2 linked regions of the Lepisosteus oculatus genome follow. The protein of the gene in region 2 purifies or fractionates together with the protein of the main gene of each other region. This does not show direct contact. Links are inferred from orthologs where the notes say so. Each region holds a gene or a part of one and is shown on either strand. Other genes may lie near its edges.

Evidence for each region.
Region 1: the proteins of hspb1 (region 2) and transforming growth factor beta-1-induced transcript 1 protein-like purify together in Homo sapiens (affinity purification with western blotting; 3 studies listed by BioGRID). This does not show direct contact. The link is inferred for Lepisosteus oculatus from reciprocal best matches to the Homo sapiens genes HSPB1 and TGFB1I1.

The regions. Positions count from the first base shown.
Region 1 is NC_090699.1:1,269,618-1,279,881, reverse strand, and holds the start of transforming growth factor beta-1-induced transcript 1 protein-like, read right to left. Parts: upstream 4,131-10,264; 5' UTR 3,893-4,130; coding exon 3,880-3,892; intron 1-3,879. Other genes in the region: armc5 (armadillo repeat-containing protein 5), read right to left, coding at 7,014-8,904, 9,710-9,842. UniProt on the Homo sapiens protein: Functions as a molecular adapter coordinating multiple protein-protein interactions at the focal adhesion complex and in the nucleus. Links various intracellular signaling modules to plasma membrane receptors and regulates the Wnt and TGFB signaling pathways.
Region 2 is NC_090721.1:3,379,777-3,389,191, reverse strand, and holds the start of hspb1 (heat shock protein beta-1), read right to left. Parts: upstream 3,681-9,415; 5' UTR 3,566-3,680; coding exon 3,172-3,565; intron 1,477-3,171; coding exon 1,413-1,476; intron 1,191-1,412; coding exon 1,025-1,190; 3' UTR 1-1,024. UniProt on the Homo sapiens protein: Small heat shock protein which functions as a molecular chaperone probably maintaining denatured proteins in a folding-competent state. Plays a role in stress resistance and actin organization.

The sequences.
Region 1 (10,264 bases), on a different chromosome or scaffold from region 2:
ACAGCCACACCGGGTCTCCTTGTGTCAGAGAGACAAGGAAACAGCCACACCGGGTCTCTTTGTGTTAGAGAGACAAGGAAACAGCCACACCGGGTCTCTTTGTGTCACAGAGACAAGGAAACAGCCACACCGGGTCTCTTTGTGTCAGAGAGACAAGGAAACAGCCACACCGGGTCTCCTTGTGTCACAGAGACAAGGAAACAGCCACACCGGGTCTCTTTGTGTCAGAGAGACAAGGAAACAGCCACACCGGGTCTCCTTGTGTCACAGAGACAAGGAAACAGCCACACCGGGTCTCCTTGTGTCAGAGAGACAAGGAAACAGCCACACCGGGTCTCTTTGTGTCAGAGAGACAAGGAAACAGCCACACCGGGTCTCCTTGTGTCAGAGAGACAAGGAAACAGCCACACCGGGTCTCTTTGTGTCAGAGAGACAAGGAAACAGCCACACCGGGTCTCCTTGTGTCACAGAGACAAGGAAACAGCCACACCGGGTCTCTTTGTGTCAGAGAGACAAGGAAACAGCCACACCGGGTCTCTTTGTGTCAGAGAGACAAGGAAACAGCCACACCGGGTCTCCTTGTGTCAGAGAGACAAGGAAACAGCCACACCGGGTCTCTTTGTGTCAGAGAGACAAGGAAACAGCCACACCGGGTCTCCTTGTGTCACAGAGACAAGGAAACAGCCACACCGGGTCTCTTTGTGTCAGAGAGACAAGGAAACAGCCACACCGGGTCTCTTTGTGTCAGAGAGACAAGGAAACAGCCACACCGGGTCTTGTTGTGTCGGTTCTGTTTCTCCGGGTTGAACAGGGGGAGAGGGTTCTGTGTCTCCGGGTTGAGAAGGGGGAGAGGTTCTGTGTCTCCGGGCCGGTGACCCAGGAAGTGCCCAGACAGAGCCCACAGTCTGCCCCGAGCCCCGCAGATCCGGGATCCGGTATCCCGACAGCCGGCAAGAGCTGCTCCCAGCGGATATCGACTCTACTCCAGCTCAGATGTTCTGCTGTTTCCTTTGATTGGATTTTTTCAGAAACTGCTTCCTTCTCTCAGCTGGCCGCTGAGCAGGGACGGTGTGCGAATAAAACTGGAAACGTCTGAGTTCATCTGTCTTCTCTTGGGGCTCTAGGGCAGCACAGGGTGAAGACAGGGAAACTGGGGTGACTCTCCCTGCCCCTGTGACTATAAGAAACTCCAGTGGGCACACACTTCTGTGAGAGTGTCTCCAGTGGGCACACACTGCTCTGTCTCTCTGTGAGAGTGTCTCCTGTGGGCACACACTGCTCTGTGTGTCTCTGTGAGAGTGTCTCCAGTGGGCACACACTGCTCTGTGTGTCTCTGTGAGAGTGTCTCTGTGAGAGTGTCTCCAGTGGGCACACACTGCTCTGAGTGTCTCTGTGAGAGTGTCTCCAGTGGGCACACACTGCTCTGTGTGTCTCTGTGAGAGTGTCTCCAGTGGGCACACACTGCTCTGTGTCTCTGTGAGAGTGTCTCCAGTGGGCACACACTGCTCTGTGTGTCTCTGTGAGAGTGTCTCCAGTGGGCACACACTGCTCTGTGTCTCTGTGAGAGTGTCTCCTGTGGGCACACACTGTTCTGAGTGTCTCTGTGAGAGTGTCTCCTGTGGGCACACACTGCTCTGTGTCTCTGTGAGAGTGTCTCCAGTGGGCACACACTGCTCTGTGTGTCTCTGTGAGAGTGTCTCCAGTGGGCACACACTGCTCTGTCTCTCTGTGAGAGTGTCTCTCTGTGAGAGTGTCTCCTGTGGGCACACACTGCTCTGTGTGTCTCTGTGAGAGTGTCTCCAGTGGGCACACACTGCTCTTTGTCTCTGTGAGAGTGTCTCCTGTGGGCACACACTGCTCTGAGTGTCTCTGTGAGAGTGTCTCCAGTGGGCACACACTGCTCTGTGTGTCTCTGTGAGAGTGTCTCCTGTGGGCACACACTGCTCTGTGTCTCTGTGAGAGTGTCTCCTGTGGGCACACACTGCTCTGTGTCTCTGTGAGAGTGTCTCCAGTGGGCACACACTGCTCTGTGTCTCTGTGAGAGTGTCTCCAGTGGGCACACACTGCTCTGTGTCTCTGTAAGAGTGTCTCCAGTGGGCACACACTGCTCTGTGTGTCTCTGTGAGAGTGTCTCCAGTGGGCACACACTGCTCTGTGTGTCTCTGTGAGAGTGTCTCTCTGTGAGAGTGTCTCCAGTGGGCACACACTGCTCTGTGTGTCTCTGTGAGAGTGTCTCCTGTGGGCACACACTGCTCTGTGTCTCTGTGAGAGTGTCTCTGTGAGAGTGTCTCCAGTGGGCACACACTGCTCTGTGTGTCTCTGTGAGAGTGTCTCTCTGTGAGAGTGTCTCCAGTGGGCACACACTGCTCTGTGTGTCTCTGTGAGAGTGTCTCCTGTGGGCACACACTGCTCTGTGTGTCTCTGTGAGAGTGTCTCCTGTGGGCACACACTGCTCTGTGTGTCTCTGTGAGAGTGTCTCCAGTGGACACACTGTTCAGTGTGTCTCTGTGAGAGTGTCTCCAGTGGGCACACACTGCTCTGTGTCTCTGTGAGAGTGTCTCCAGTGGGCACACACTGCTCTTTGTCTCTGAGAGTGTCTCCAGTGGGCACACACTGCTCTTTGTCTCTGTGAGAGTGTCTCCTGTGGGCACACACTGCTCTGTGTGTCTCTGTGAGAGTGTCTCCGGTGGGCACACACTGCTCTGAGTGTCTCTGTGAGAGTGTCTCCAGTGGGCACACACTGCTCTGTGTGTCTCTGTGAGAGTGTCTCCTGTGGGCACACACTGCTCTGTGTGTCTCTGTGAGAGTGTCTCCAGTGGGCACACACTGCTCTGTGTCTCTGTGAGAGTGTCTCCAGTGGGCACACACTGCTCTGTGTCTCTATGAGAGTCTCCCCAGTGGGCACACACTGCTCTGTGTGTCTCTGTGAGAGTGTCTCTGTGAGAGTGTCTCCAGTGGGCACACACTGTTCTGTGTGTCTCTGTGAGAGTGTCTCCAGTGGGCACACACTGCTCTGTGTCTCTGTGAGAGTGTCTCCAGTGGGCACACACTGCTCTTTGTCTCTGTGAGAGTGTCTCCAGTGGGCACACACTGCTCTGTGTGTCTCTGTGAGAGTGTCTCCAGTGGGCACACACTGCTCTGAGTGTCTCTGTGAGAGTGTCTCCGGTGGGCACACACTGCTCTGAGTGTCTCTGTGAGAGACACTGCTCTTTGTGTTTCTGTGAGAGTGTCTCCTGTGGGCACACACTGCTCTGAGTGTCTCTGTGAGAGTGTCTCCAGTGGGCACACACTGCTCTGTGTGTCTCCTGTGGGCACACACTGCTCTGTGTCTCTGTGAGAGTCTCCCCAGTGGGCACACACTGCTCTGTGTGTCTCCAGTGGGCACACACTGCTCTGTGTCTCTGTGAGAGTCTCCCCAGTGGGCACACACTGCTCTGTGTCTCTGTGAGAGTCTCCCCAGTGGGCACACACTGCTCTGTGTGTCTCTGTGAGAGTGTCTCCAGTGGGCACACACTGCTCTGTGTGTCTCCAGTGGGCACACACTGCTCTGTGTGTCTCCAGTGGGCACACACTGCTCTGTGTCTCTGTGAGAGTCTCCCCAGTGGGCACACACTGCTCTGTGTGTCTCCAGTGGGCACACACTGCTCTGTGTCTCTGTGAGAGTCTCCCCAGTGGGCACACACTGCTCTGTGTGTCTCCAGTGGGCACACACTGCTCTGTGTCTCTGTGAGAGTCTCCCCAGTGGGCACACACTGCTCTGTGTCTCTGTGAGAGTCTCCCCAGTGGGCACACACTGCTCTGTGTGTCTCCAGTGGGCACACACTGCTCTGAGTGTGATAAAAATCCACGCAGCGCTACAGCAACAGCAGTCGAACTCACCCAGATCGTCCATCGTCTCTCGGCGCCGGTTTCTCGCTGGAAGCTGCCGAAGTCGATCCTGTCCCGGGAGCCGGACGGTCCCGCGGTCGAGCCGGGAGCGGAGGTCGGTGTCGCCAGCGGGAGCGCAGCCGGGAAGAGGCTCGAGGCTCGGGAAGAGGCTCGGGAAGGGACTCGGAAAAGGGCGGATTCCCGGCCGCTGTCCCGCCGCGCAGTGCGCGTGTCTGGAGAGAGACCCCCTCGCTCACACGCGCACGCCCGTTCCCAGGCCGTGACGTCACCGCGGACATTCCAACACCATATTAGGAGCAGAGCCGCGAGCGCAGGAGAGCCTGAGTCTGGAGCGCTGTTACTGAGCACAGCTACTGAGCACTGTCTCCGAGCCTGGAGCGCTGTTACTGAGCACAGCTACTGAGCACTGTCTCCGAGCCTGGAGCGCTGTTACTGAGCACAGCTACTGAGCACAGTCTCCGAGCCTGGAGCGCTTTTACCGAGCACAGCTACTGAGCACAGTCTCCAAGCCTGGAGCGCTGTTACTGAGCACAGCTGCTGAGCACAGTCTCCGAGTCTGGAGCGCTGTTACTGAGCACAGTCTCTGAGCCTGGAGCGCTGTTACTGAGCCTGGAGAGCACTTACTGAGCACAGTCTCTGAGCCTGGAGCGCTGTTACTGAGCACAGTCTCTGAGCCTGGAGAGCACTTACTGAGCACAGTCTCTGAGCCTGGAGCGCTGTTTCTGAGCACAGTCTCTGAGCCTGGAGCGCTGTTACTGAGCACAGCTACTAAGCACCGTTACTGAGCACTGTTGCTGAGCCTGGAGCGCTGTTACTGAGTACAGTATGAGTACAGAGGTGAGTACAGTATGAATACAGAGACAAGTCCAGTACGAGTACAGAACGAGTACAGTACGAGTACAGAACGAGTACAGAACGAGTACAGAACGATTACAGTATGAGTACAGAACGAGTACAGAACGAGTCCCGGATCACACAAGGCTGGTCAGCGGAGCCGAGCGATCAGGTCCGCGTGGGGAAACTTCTCCAAGGGGCAGAGCGCTGTGGCCAGTCTGATCGGCCGCGCGGCCAGGGCGCCCCTCTCCTCCCTCGCCCTCTGCCCTGCAGCCTGACCCTGACCGCCGGGGACAGCCGGGGCGGGCGGAGACAGGATAGAGACCCCACAGCGGGGGAGACGCCAGACACAGCATGACGGGTCGTAGCCGGTCGCTCCTCGGCTCGGTTCTGCCGCTGACCCAGATCTGCTGGTCTGAGGCAAGACAGAGTCGGAGAGGCAGGGACAGACTGGGCAGCCTGGTGAAGAGACGTCCCAGTCCGTTTCCCCTCTGTCCCTCAGTCCCGGGTTCGGCGTACAGCACAGTCCAGGTACTCCCATCGGAGCGCAGATACCCCAGCTCCAAAACCAGCAGGTTCAAGTCCTCACTCAACACCTGAAGCCAAGTCCTCACTCACTCTGACCCTCCATGTCAACAGGTCTGGATATTGACGGAGATCAGGTTGGTACGGCCAGCAGCCAAAATCCTCTGCAACTCACAACTGGCAGCTACTGGAGCCCAGCAGGGGGAGCTCTCACCCAGCTCACAGCCCACTGGAGCCCAGCAGGGGGCGCCCTCACCCAGCTCACAGCCCACTGGAGCCCAGCAGGGGGCGCTCTCACCCAGCTCACAGCCCACTGGAGCCCAGCAGGGGGCGCCCTCACCCAGCTCACAGCCCACTGGAGCCCAGCAGGGGGCACTGTCCCCCAGCTCACAGCCCACTGGAGCCCAGTAGGGGGCGCCTGGCCAGAACCTGGAGGGGAGACCCCTGGGAGAGGTGTGAGTGGGGCCAGCAGGGGGCGCTCTCACCCTGCGCTCTGTGTGGGTCCTGATGCCCCAGTCCAGTGATGGTGAGCTATAAAAGAGTAGGGCTGGACACTGACGGGGACACTGGACTGTAAACAGGCGCCGTCCTTCAGATGAGACGTGAAGCCGGGGTCCTGACTCTCTGTGCTCATTAACAATCCCATTGTTAATGTCTCTCGAGAAGAGTCGGGGTGTCACCCCGGTGTCCCTCTGCTCTCCTCCACTGAGAGCTGCTGTGTGGGAGAGGACTGGAGCCTCATCCAGGTGGGGTACACACTGCTGGGGGTGGGGGGGATCCCCATGACCTGTACAGCGCATTGAGTGGGGTGTCCAGACAGGCGCTATATAAGGGTCAGCAATTATTATTCCGGTAGCAGATGTTCAGCAGGGAGTAAACCCATCGCTCGTGTCTGCATGGAGTTGAATTTTCCCTCATGTCCGCCAGCACTGTGGCTGTAAAACCGCTCCCCCTGAGACAAGCAGACGAGAGAGCTCCGGTCCGGTCCGCGAGAGCCCAGCAGGGCACGAGCCAGCGTCATCAAACTGGGCCTGTTCCAGAACGGTGTGTGGGAGCAGGGCGCGCCGCTGGAGACGGACAGGGGGTTACTGGGGGGCAGGAGAACAGACTGACCTCTGACACAGCAGTTTGAGTTCATCAGCTGAGCGTTTATTACAGTGACTCAGGGTCCAGCTGGGTATTCACAGTGTATGTACAGTATCTACAGCCCCACAGAGGGCACCCAGAGAGCACAGGCCCTCGCCCCCTTAGACAAAACTCCCCCTCCCACAACCCCTCCCCCAGACACGCCCCCCTCATCCACTGTCTCCTCCCTCCCCAGACACGCCCCTCTCCTCCCACTGTCTCCTCCCTCCCCAGACACGCCCCTCTCCTCCCACTGTCTCCTCCCTCCCCAGACACGCCCCTCTCCTCCCACTGTCTCCTCCCTCCCCAGACACGCCCCTCTCCTCCCTCCCCAGACACGCCCCTCTCCTCCCACTGTCTCCTCCCTCCCCAGACACACCCCTCTCCTCCTGTCTCCTCCCTCCCCAGACACGCCCCCTCCCCCACTGTCTCCTCCCTCCCCAGACACACCCTTCTCCTCCTGTCTCCTCCCTCCCCAGACACACCCTTCTCCTCCTGTCTCCTCCCTCCCCAGACACGCCCTTCTCCTCCTGTCTCCTCCCTCCCCAGACACGCCCTTCTCCTCCTGTCTCCTCCCTCCCCAGACACGCCCTTCTCCTCCTGTCTCCTCCCTCCCCAGACACGCCCCTCTCTGCCCAGGGTCAGGTCAGTGCGCGGGTGACCATGGCCAGTATGTCCTCCTGCAGGCGCTGGCCGCAGTGGGCGTGGTCGGCGATCTGCCCCAGGCAGGCGGCGGCGGGGGCGAGGGGCAGGGGGGGGCGGGCGGCCAGCAGCAGGGCCAGGCAGCGGCGGCCCAGCAGGGGGTAACCGTGCTGCTGGGAGAACTGGTACAGCGAGGGCAGGGCGCCGAGGAGAGAGGCAGGGTCCGGCTCCGAGTCCGGCCCGCTCTGACCCAGTTCTGACCCACCCAGTTCGCCCAGTGACTCCGAGTCTGGCCCGCTCCAAACCAGTCCAGACCCGCCCAGTTCGCCCAGTGACTCCGAGTCTGGCCCGCTCTGACCCAGTCCGGACCCGCCCAGTTCACCCAGTGACTCCGGCCCGCTCCGAGCCGGTCCGGACCCGCCCAGTTCGCCCAGTGAATCTGGCCCGCTCTGACCCAGTCCGGACCCGCCCAGTTCGCCCAGTGACTCCGGCCCGCTCCGACCCGGTCCAGACCCGCCCAGTTTGCCCAGTGACTCCGAGTCTGGCCCGCTCTGACCCAGTCCGGACCCGCCCAGTTCGCCCAGTGACTCTGGCCCGCTCCGACACAGTCCGGACCCGCCCAGTTCGCCCAGTGAATCTGGCCCGCTCTGACCCAGTCCGGACCCGCCCAGTTCGCCCAGTGACTCCGGCCCGCTCCGACCCGGTCCAGACCCGCCCAGTTCGCCCAGTGACTCTGGCCCGCTCCGACACAGTCCGGACCTGCCCAGTTCGCCCAGTGACTCTGGCCCGCTCCGACACAGTCCGGACCCGCCCAGTTCGCCCAGTGACTCCGAGTCTGGCCCGCTCTGACCCAGTCCGGACCCGCCCAGTTCGCCCAGTGACTCCGGCCCGCTCCGACCCAGTCCAGACCCGCCCAGTTCGCCCAGTGACTCCGAGTCTGGCCCGCTCTGACCCAGTCCGGACCCGCCCAGTTCTCCCAGTGACTCCGGCCCGCTCCGAGCCGGTCCGGACCCGCCCAGTTCGCCCAGTGACTCCGGCCCGCTCCGAGCCGGTCCGGACCCGCCCAGTTCGCCCAGTGACTCCGAGTCTGGCCCGCTCCGACCCGGTCCGGACCCGCCCAGTTCGCCCAGTGACTCCGAGTCTGGCCCTCTCTGACCCAGTCCGCCCAGTGACTCCGGCCCGCTCCGAGCCGGTCCGGACGCCCCCTGCTGGCCCAGGAGAGACACACACAGCTGCTCCAGCTGCGCCTGCAGCCCCGACACCAGGAAGCGGCTGGCGCCCCGCATGGCCGCCAGCAGGGGGGGCTCCCCGCCCCCGGGAGGCCCCCAGAGGGGGGGCTCCCCGCCAGCCCCCAGGGCCCCCAGCAGCGGGCAGGCCGCCCCGTCGCCCAGGCGACAGCCGTGCAGGAAGTGCAGGACGGGCAGCAGCATCTCGGGGGTGACGTCGCGGATGGGGACCCCCCCCGTGGCCAGCGCCTCCCGGAAGCCCCCCAGCAGCAGCGCGTGGAAGTAGGGGGAGCCCCCCTGCCCGGTCAGGGCGGCCCGGCTGGCGGGGAGCCGCGTGCCGTCGTCCAGCAGCAGCACCAGGTCCGGGGGGGCGCGCCGGTAGGGGCAGGGGGCGGGGGGCGGGGGCCGCGGGGCGCCGGGGGCCCCCCCGCCCTCGGGGCGCCCCAGCAGGGCGGAGAGGCAGTCCGCCAGCGCGCAGCAGTACAGCGCCCGCAGGCGCCGCGCCGAGGGGGGCTGGGGGGGCGGCAGCCAGGCGCCCAGGAGGGCCCCCCAGCCCAGCGGGTCCTCCTCCGCGGCCGGGGCGTCGTCACGGCGACACAGCGGCTGCAGGGCCAGACGCAGACCAGCGTGATCGAGCAGCAGCTTCCGGAGCACAGGCCTGTTACTGGAGAGACAGACAGGCACGTCACTGGAGAGACAGACAGGCACAGGCCTGTTACTGGAGAGACAGACAGGCACAGGCCTGTTACTGGAGAGACAGACAGGCACGTCACTGGAGAGACAGACAGGCACGGGCCTGTTACTGGAGAGACAGACAGGCACGTCACTGGAGAGACAGACAGGCCTGTTACTGGAGAGACAGACAGGCCTGTTACTGGAGAGACAGACAGGCACGTCACTGGAGAGACAGACAGACAGGCACAGGCCTGTTACTGGAGAGACAGACAGGCACGTCACTGGAGAGACAGACAGGCACGGGCCTGTTACTGGAGAGACAGACAGGCACGTCACTGGAGAGACAGACAGACAGGCACAGGCCTGTTACTGGAGAGACAGACAGGCACGTCACTGGAGAGACAGACAGGCACAGGCCTGTTACTGGAGAGACAGACAGGCACGTCACTGGAGAGACAGACAGACAGGCACAGGCCTGTTACTGGAGAGACAGACAGGCACGTCACTGGAGAGACAGACAGACAGGCACAGGCCTGTTACTGGAGAGACAGACAGGCACGTCACTGGAGAGACAGACAGGCACAGGCACGTCACTGGAGAGACAGACAGACAGGCACAGGCACGTCACTGGAGAGACAGACAGGCACAGGCCTGTCACTAGAGAGACAGACAGGCACGGGCCTGTTACTGGAGAGACAGACAGGCACGGGCACGTCACTGGACAGACAGACAGACAGACAGACAGACAGACAGACAGACAGACAGACAGACAGACAGACAGACAGACAGCTCACCTGGTGACCAGTGGCAGGGCTAGCGCACACGCCAGGTGCTCAGGGTCCGAGCCAGACAGCATCAGATGAGTGAGGACACCGGCACCGAACCCCGACTCACACTGCACCCGCAGATTACTGAGGAGGGTCAGTCCTGTAACACAACACACACACACTGACTCCCACTGCACCCGCAGATTACTGAGGAGGGTCAGTCCTGTAACACAACACACACACACTGACTCCCACTGCACCCGCAGATTACTGAGGAGGGTCAGTCCTGTAACACAACACACACACTGACTCCCACTGCACCCGCAGATTACTGAGGAGGGTCAGTCCTGTAACACAACACACACACACTGACTCACACTGCACCCGCAGATTACTGAGGAGGGTCAGTCCTGTAACACAACACACACACACTGACTCCCACTGCACCCGCAGATTACTGAGGAGGGTCAGTCCTGTAACACAACACACACACACTGACTCACACTGCACCCGCAGATTACTGAGGAGGGTCAGTCCTGTAACACAACACACACACACACTGACTCCCACTGCACCCGCAGA
Region 2 (9,415 bases):
GCTGCCAGTGACAATGTACTGTAACACCTTGGTGAAGAAAGCAGTGTCAAAGCTAATAAATCCTGTGCAAGACCACCCTTCCAGCCCTGTAATATCTGATTAAATTAAGAACAACATTTCTCCATTCTCAATCTACTGTATGTTAAAAAATCAGATTCTAATGCTATCCTCTTAAAGAAACACACACAACTATTTTGACTTAAAAAAGACAAAGCATTTATTTTTCAAAATTATGGAAATACCTTCACACCCACTGAAATATAGGCCGATCTCTACCATGTGCAAACTATAGCATTAAACAGATTCCATCAAATCAAAATATCATAACAAGAACAATGGTGAGTAGCAATTACCAAAAATAATAACAGAAGGCTATACCAAATTGGTAATTTATTCTTTAGTCTCACAATAGGAATAAAAGCCTACTTTTCTGTACTTCTTAGAAATAAATCTCTTTTTTTCCCACAAAAGGCTTGTAATGTATTGTATGCATAGTTCAGCTCATCCAAAGTCATACAGTATGTCCTGTATTTTTTATTCCAATGACAAGGCTATCTATGCTCCTAGTGTTCACGCAGGGACGTTGTGCCTGAGTGAAGAAACCAAGCTGCAGTTTCACAGAAGATGGCACACCCGCAGCCAGCAGAGCTGCAGTATCATAATGGAGAAAAAACAATACCCACACACCAGCCAAGTCTAATCGCATTCAGAGCGCAGCAAGCAAATCTTAAGAGCAGGAGGCAGAAGTGAAAGGGGAGTATTTGGATTGTATTTTAAATCTAACTCTAAAAGAAGGATGAAATGACTGCAAAAATGCAGGTTTGCAATAGCACGTAATGTAATAATACAAAGTCAGTGTGCTGGGGGGATGTTTCATTCACCGAGAAATTGAGCCAATTTCAAAAGAATGAAAAAAACAACAAGCAAAAGATAGTTTCTGTTATAATATTTGGGAAACTGCTGCGTGGTCAAGCGTTCAATATTAACTGCACTGCGCCTTTGCAGGTCGGTAGAGCAATGCTGGTTATTTCTTGGTTTCGACTGCAGGCTTGGCCTTGCTCTCCAGGGAGACTGGGATGGTAATTTCCGCAGCCTGGATTGCCGGTTTGGGAAGAGGAGCCTCTACGGTCAGCACTCCTTCTGGAGAGAGGGAGGAGACCACCTTGTTGACGTCCACGCCAGGAGGGAGCCTGGGGAGGGGAACGAGAAAGCGTTGCCGATTTCAGCAAGCAAAGGGAACACATGCCTGAGGGCCCGGACAGGTGATGTTGTCATAAACTGAATTCATGAACTGGACTTTGCTAGGAGGGCATCAGCTAGTCCTACTACAAGTGTTCCACACAACAAAGACAGGCTACCAGTTTTATACAATATATATTACACATGCTTCATACTGTTTTTCTAATACTCACGTGTATTTTCTGGTGAAGCATCTTGAAATGTAGCCATGCTCATCCTGTCTCTCTTCATGTTTACCTACAGGTACAAATGCATAGGTCAGGCATGGAATGTTTTCAGTTCTGAGGTTACACCAGCTTCCTTTAGCAACTGGCAATTCTCCCTTGACAGCATTTTAATAGATCCCTGTGTGTCTTCCTGCTTTAATATAGAACATTCCTATTGAAACTGAGATCCTGATAACACAGTTGTTTGCTTTGGCAACTGACTATTACTGCAAACAAGCACTGCTTGTATCACAGTGAAGCATATTCCATAGATTGCATTCATTTTATATGTGCTCATGGTTACAGTTGATTTCTTAAATTTAGCCATTACTTTTCAATGCATTTGAGAGACATCACGTGAAAACAGGTATATAAATGTTGCACTTTAGGAAATCATTACAAATGGTCTTTTTACTTCATGCAAAGTTGCAATGGAAATTATCAAGTGATAAAAACAAATTTAGACAGTAATCTAAAACAGTAAAAACTGACTTATTACAGTAACATAACATAACTTTATTAGCCCTATACAATTTCTTGAATTAGGAATTCATCTTTTCACATACCCCAGCTTGCTCTCCATGAGACAAACAGATAGGGAGAGAGCTTGGGGTCAGAGTGCAGGGTCAGTCATTGTACAGCACCCCTGGAGCAGTTGGGGTTAACAGCCTTGCTCAGGGGCCCAACAGAGTAGGATTCCTTTGCCAGCTGCAGGATTTGAACCGGCAACCTTCCAGCCACAGGCGCAGAGCTCCGCCCTATATACTTTTATAAAAGCAATCCAATGCTGCAAATAGTGACACACGAAGTGAAGCTTCTTAAAAACTTTGCAAGTCTGATTAGGAAATGAAACAGCCCTGGCTGGGCTAGCAGCTGACTCTGAAAGCAACAAGCAAGTGTGAGTCATCAGTGACTCAGCTGCAATCCCCATGGCACCGATGAAGGAGGGACGCAGTTATTGGCAAATTTGCTGGCTTTTCAGATGAAACTATTTTTTTAACACTGCCATTAAACCAGATGTAGACGGGAACAGATGCAGATCAGCTTGCTTTCGAACACAGCTATGACCATGGTAAAACTCAATTCATCAAGCATTCAAGTTCGGCCAGTCTCGGGGGCAGTGTGTGCTAGCTGTGTCACTTCAACAGAGAACCAGTGCTGTCACCCCAGCTGCCCCCTGCTCTGAGGAGAATCCAGGGAACACGTTGACTTCTGTTCATTTTCCACAACAAAGGCCAGTTCAGAAACATTTGTTTTTTTAAAACTAGAAAGACTTTCTCACTGAGATAAACTAGACAGCATGAGATATACCATATTCCCAACATTCAATGCTGTCATAACTTTTAAAAGAATGTGTTTTATGAAGCTGTCGACTTTCTTATTTTTACTAATTTGCTCCAAACAAACAGGCAACACATAAACAGAAACAAACATAAATCAGAAACAAACAATGACTACATATTAATCTTTATAAGACAGATGACATGATCAAGGCTGCACTCACGGTGAAAGGAAGGAATAAAATACGTCTGGAAGTTTTTTTTTTAACCCTTTAAAATTAAAAAGGTCATTTTGTTCTGTTTGCGAAGATTTAAAACCCATGAAAGCTGGTGCACCATACAGACCCTCACCTCACGCCCGCTCGGGCCCGTACCGTGGCCACGCCCCTCGCAGCGCTAGCGCCCCCAGAAGGAGGGGGGAAGACAGAGCTGCCTGCGGGACTCACCTGTGATTTCCACCACGCCGTCCTTGGTTTTTACCACCAGTTCCTCGGGGGAGAAGTGGTTGACATCCAGGCTGACTTTCCACTGGTCCTGGGTCTGCTTGATCTCGGACATGCCGCTGCTCAGCTGGCGGGAGAGCGCGCGGGCGTAGGGCGACATCGCCGGCCCCGGGGGCAGCGGGCTCACAGCGCTGGGGGCCCCTGCTTCGGCTGCCGGGCCCACAACTGAGGGCCGAATGTAGCCGGGCCAGTGAGTGCTCGGCCAGTGGTACCAGTCCTCGGTGAGGGCTGGCATGCCGAAGGACTGGTCGAAGATCCGGTTGCCGTGGAACCAGTCTCGGAAGGGATCCCAGCTTGGGCCGCGAAGGAAAGTGAAGGGAATGTGGCGCTCGGACATGTCGGCGAGGAACGTTTTAGGAACGGGGACAGACCACCCTCAGAAGGTTTTGCAGTTCTCTGCTCTCCTCTGCGCTGTTTGGAAGAGCGAGTGCTCTAAGTAATAGTTGGCCGTGGGCTTTATAAACTTCTCCTTCACTGCCCGCCTCTCACCCCCCCATCATATTTATAGAAGAGCCTAGAAAGTCTATTCATGGAAGACAGACCACTGGAAAGGAATTTAGTGTTCCAAGACCGCCCCCCCCCGCCGCTGGATAACACACTGTGTTTAACCCCCGGCTCCAGCCAATTGTAATCCCCTGCCTGGTATTACAGCCTGAAAGAGGAATCTGGTGTGAACCTTGCCAACACTCCTCTGTTGGAGCACGGCAGAAGCGCTGATAAGGAACAGCACTCCAGCAACTGCTGGAGCAGAGCTGTTCCGAGCTGCTTTGAAATGTATCATGAGGAGGGACTGCCATCACCGAAACCCGAACTGGTCACAGAGACGGGATTTCGAATGTGGTACATTCCTGAGAACTTCAGAAGCTACCCTGGTTCTTCAGAACCAAGCACAAAAATTGAGGCTCTTTGTGGCTTCAACCCAAATCACTTCAAAGTCATCTAGCAGTTTGTCTCAACATGCTACAAATGGGGCACCTGAATGCTAGAAGGGGCATCATTAGTGTAGGAAACCACTAAACACCAGTGCTAGGGAGACCCAATTAGTTCCTGACAAATGTCATTCTAATGACGTTTTTACAAACCTTCTGAAGAAAAAAATAAAGAAGCTGAAAAACTGACAGCAATTTTTCCTTTTTAAGCTGGGGTTTTCAGAAAGAAGATGTCTTTTTTTTGGGGGGGTGGGGGTGGCAGTAGGTCACACAGGTGAAGTTGCTTGTGAAGGCCTTGCGACAAGCACAAGCTCACTAAAATAAATCTAATACCTAATGTCATTTTCCCAGGACAGGCCTGGTTCCAAATGTCTCCATGCTTCGGCTCCCCAGGCTGTGACAAAATGTGTCTGAGGAGTTAACAGACTAGAAGTGACAGCTGAGAGGCTAGCTCAGGCCTCACTGGGTTGAGGATCTTGAAAAGCTGAACGACAGAAGTAATAACTCAGGCTTTCTTGTCCTATTCGCACTGTATATTAATAAGCTAAATATCACTGAGCTATTCATCTGAAACAATATTTTTTCAGGATTCTTTCACCCAGGGGGTCTTGACAGCAGTAGTCAACAGCATGAAGAAAGATGAGTTTTACATTAATTTTGAGCAGCTGATACTAATAGGTATAAAATATGTCAGGCTGTTTTTCTCTATAATAAGATTTAATATTCATTCGTAGCAAAGGAGAATAACACAGTTGTCATCTCCCCTTACTTTCTTCCCCAATATGTTTTGAGATGTCTGATGGTCATAATCAAACACTTCGGATCTGTATTACTGAATATCTAAACAGCAACATTCAGCAATGAATTAAAACATCTTCATTTTAAATATCAAAACTCATGTGAACTAAATATAGTCTCATTATTCTGACAAACCCCTAAAACAGTTATTCTACTATAGTGTATTGTATAACGATATTATCCTTCAATTTTATTTTACAGACACATACTGTATAAATCAATATACAGTATAACATTTCCTTTTCAGTGGGACATACTGTAGAAGGTTCGAGATCAATTCAAAAATCATCACCAACGTTTTAATTTTAACCTTACGACGATACTGAGTTTGAATTCTGCTGTCCAATGATTTTCTTCTAATCGTTTTTATGTAAAATTACAATGGCTCAATTTCTGATGAAACATTTAAAGGGAATTATTCTATAACTAAAGTGACGGCCGGCTCAATAAAAAATGAAATTCAGCACAATCTTCTGCGCACCACAAATCACAACGACAGGGATCTGTATATTCGTACAAACCCCCTTTTATTAATATTAGTTGAGTGATATCATATAGTCATACTTTCAACATTTAGCGAAAATCAAATGTGTTATCATACAATTTATCAGTACCTCCATTTTTTAACATTATTTCTCTCATTAATTGAACTGAGGGGCATAACTGAGAAAGCAACGAGAATATTCTCGAGATTAGGCTAAAATTAACGGAGGTGTCATCATGTTTTATTCTTGTAAGATACATTTACACTCGAGGTTCAGCCAGAAACCTCCAGCCTCGAATTCAACCGGAGTTACCAGAATATTCCATCACTCGTGTCTGAAACCAAAGGGATTTCATCACCCAAGCGAGGAAAAGTGGAGGAAAAACAGGCTCGCGAGTGCCCTCTATGGGATGAATTCGTTTACAGAGAAACTCACATAATTTATTTGTGTGTGTGCAGTATGAGCAGTATGTGCCAAGTGTAAAACCGTAGTCTTATCACAGACTATCGTTAATCTGCCAGAGGACTGAGAACTGCTAATTAGCACGCATAATAATAAATAGCCCTTTAATTTGTTGTTAGTGTTGTTGCTTTGAACAGACAAACACGGGGGAATATACTGTACCGGTGTGCGCTGATTGCATATGAAAATTGTCGTTTAGTTTTTGCTCAAGACTCATATAACAACCCTCAATGCCATTCCATTTTTCTGAAGGAGATGTGCTGCTGTGTAGCATTATCTGTCCTACAATACCTGCCCCCAGACCTCAAAGTGTAATACATTTAATTTCGTTCTTTCCCATTAACCGATTGACGTTATATAATGTTAAAAAAAAAAAACAACTGTGTTCTTCAACGAGGAAACTCGGATCCCCCGTGTCCCAAATTTAAAATATTGTTCTTTTTTTGCGGAATGAAGCTCGGCTTGAACACAGGGTTGACGCAGTAACGAGTTAAAGCGACTTCACTGCATGTCGATGCAATGCTGTAGTGATTGTAGGGTGGAAAAGTGCGCATGCCGGCGAGGGTGACGGGCCAGCGGGCGGACCCTCGTACAACTGTCGAGCAAATAGTTTCTTTTGGAAGCACTGACCAAGTAGGAGGGGGAAGATAATTCAGCGTGCGAGGAGCTGCGATTACAGTCCAGTGTTGATCAGAATGACTAACCCTTAGTAATTACCTGTATTCTTTTCAAAAAGGTAAATCCAGTATTTCCATGTATTTTCTTGTCTGTGTATAAATTCAGTGGACTATCTTATTATTCACACCTGAAGAAAGCTCCACGGCCGAAACCTTGTGTTTTTTCTTCTCTTTTCAGCAGGGAATAAACCTATTACTTGTTCCTTTGCAGCCTACGCATGCTGACGCAGCTGCCCACCTGAACTATCTTATTATTTGACTGCTTAATTGTAATACTTCTAACCTGGTTCAGAGGGATGTTATACTCTAGGTGACTGTAATTTTAATGAAGTGAATGGTTTCTGTAAAAGAAACCTTGAGAAAAATCCTGTATATGTTCTATTTTACTAATTTCAGTTAAATTGTTTAATAACTACTCGCACTAGATTAAAAGGGCCCTCCAAGGACGGAGTATGAAATCGCTGAGATGCAGGGTCATAAACTAAAATGTTCTCTGCCAGGACCTCCATCACACGTTACTGGTGAGTTTAATTAACACAGGCGATTGTGGAAGTTGGCGGCACTGTGGTGCAGTGGTGTGCCCTGCTGCCTCGTGCCACGGGCTTCTTCTTTCTGCTCCAGTTTCCTCCCACAGTCCAAAGACATGCTGGTGGGTTAAGTGGCTGGTGGGAAAACTAGCCCTGGTGTGAGCGTGTGTGTCAGTGTCTGCCCTGAGATGGACTGGTGTCCTGTCCAGGGTGTATCCTGCCATGCTTGCTAGGATAGGCTTCAGCTCTCTCGTGACCCTGTATTGGATAAATCAGTTAGACACTGGATGGATGGAAGGAATAGTGAAAGTCACTCTTACCTTCCCACAGGCTGTGTGGCTTCTCAGGCTTTTTTGTCGAAGAAAAATCTACCCGATTAGCATTCCAAAACTACAAGTGGAAACCCACAAAGAGAAAATGCAGGTAAAAAAAGGCCCAGGGATAGTTTTTCTTTTTAAACCTGTTGTGAGAATTTTAGCACAGTTTTACTTTGAGGTAAAACGATGGAGATGTTCTCACTGGTATACAAAGCCCTGAAAACAAACACACAACAAAACAACAGCCAAGTTCCCATTGTTATGTTGTTTATTGTACCGTGTATTAACTAGTACACTACAGCTACTGACTTTTATACAATCCAAAGGTGAACGTAGTTGTTCTTTTTTTTTCCACATAATTTGCTTGTTGTTTTTTAACTCGGGTTACATTTTAAATGTAACATTCAGAGGGGGACAGAGACTGAAACAGACGAGGAAGACTGAAGGTTCCCTGATACACCACCAGCATTCAAATCAGTACAAAACTGAAAACACATTGGAAACGCATTGTCTGTACATGGACAGCTCTCCCTCATTGCTTTGTACAAAATGACAATGAAAAGGAGATACTGAAAAGGGCTAATGTCCTGAAGCCATGGACATTTTGGGATATGCAAAACCATTGCCGCATTAACAGCTAGTATTCCTGGATATAAACCAGGGACACATATTTGAAAATTCTACTGCATTTCTTCTCAGGTTTAACTGGCTGCTTTATTTACACTCTGAAATGGAGGCCTGAAACTACGGTGCGATATACCTTACACTGGACTGAGGGACTTGACAAGCAAAGGTTTGGGAGATAAGACAAATATCCCCCTTAACTCATGCGACTGATGGAACACTCTGCCACTATGGGTTAGTAATCCTTCCTCCACGGTTTGGTTTTGCCTTCACTATTTTCTGCCATCCCCATATCTCAGGGGTTCCAGGTCCTTGAGGCCCATGCACCTGCTGGCTTTCAGTCCAGCTGAGCTTAATTATGTAACTGAACTATCAAGTTGCTTGATTGGAATACATGCACTTTTTGTTTTTGCTCAGACGTTTGGGATTCTGTGTTACTTATAGTGCTACTGTCCTAACACGTTTAAGAGCTGAAAACAATCAAACAGTTCAAATTAGTGCTGGGTTCAATCCCGGGCCCGGGGAGCTATCTGTGTGGAGTTTGTATGTTCTCTTGTTCACATGCATTTTCACTGGGAGCTCTGGTTTCCTCCCAAAGTCCAAAGGCATGCTGGTAGGTTGACTTCTGGGAAACCTGGCCCGGGTGTGAGTGTGTGCATGTTTGTGTCTGCCTGCTCTGTGATAGACTGGCATCCTGTCCAGGGTGTATCCTGCCTTGTGCCCTGCTGGGATAGGCTCTGTCTCCCCTGCGACCCTCAATTGGATGAAGTGCTTAGCAAATTGAAAAAAAATTGAATTAAATCAATTGAGGGTTTAACTGTGTACAGTAAGGAAGAGATTGGTTTGAGTTTACGGGCTCCCAGGACAGGAATAAGAACCCCTGCCATCACTGCTGCTACAGCAGGTCCCTATCTCTCTCTTGCTCCACATGGGGGGGGTTGGTTAATACCTGATGCTCATTGGCCAAGCTGTCGTGCGTCATTCCGGTGGATTAATGCCAAAGAACACAGGAATCCCTTTGCTTAACTAAGCAAAGGCACTTAGTTGTGGGTGTTGTCTGTCTCTAGAAATACTAAAAAAAAAAACTATTTTAATTGTATGAAACCAAAGCTAAGAAGCTGTGTTTTTAAGGTACCCAGTAAAGGGCTTAATTTAGGACCTTTATTTTACACATTTTATTAAGGAATACTGAATTTATGAATTTTCCATGGGCTATTTTCAAAACATGGAAGTCGCATGATGTTCTGCTTATCTTCAAACTCAGTGATTGCTAGACAAATAAATACATAAATAAATAAATATATTCCAAATGGTACACTTTGGTAAAATGATAGTTACACACCAAGGAGTGTGGTCCATCTTCATTTT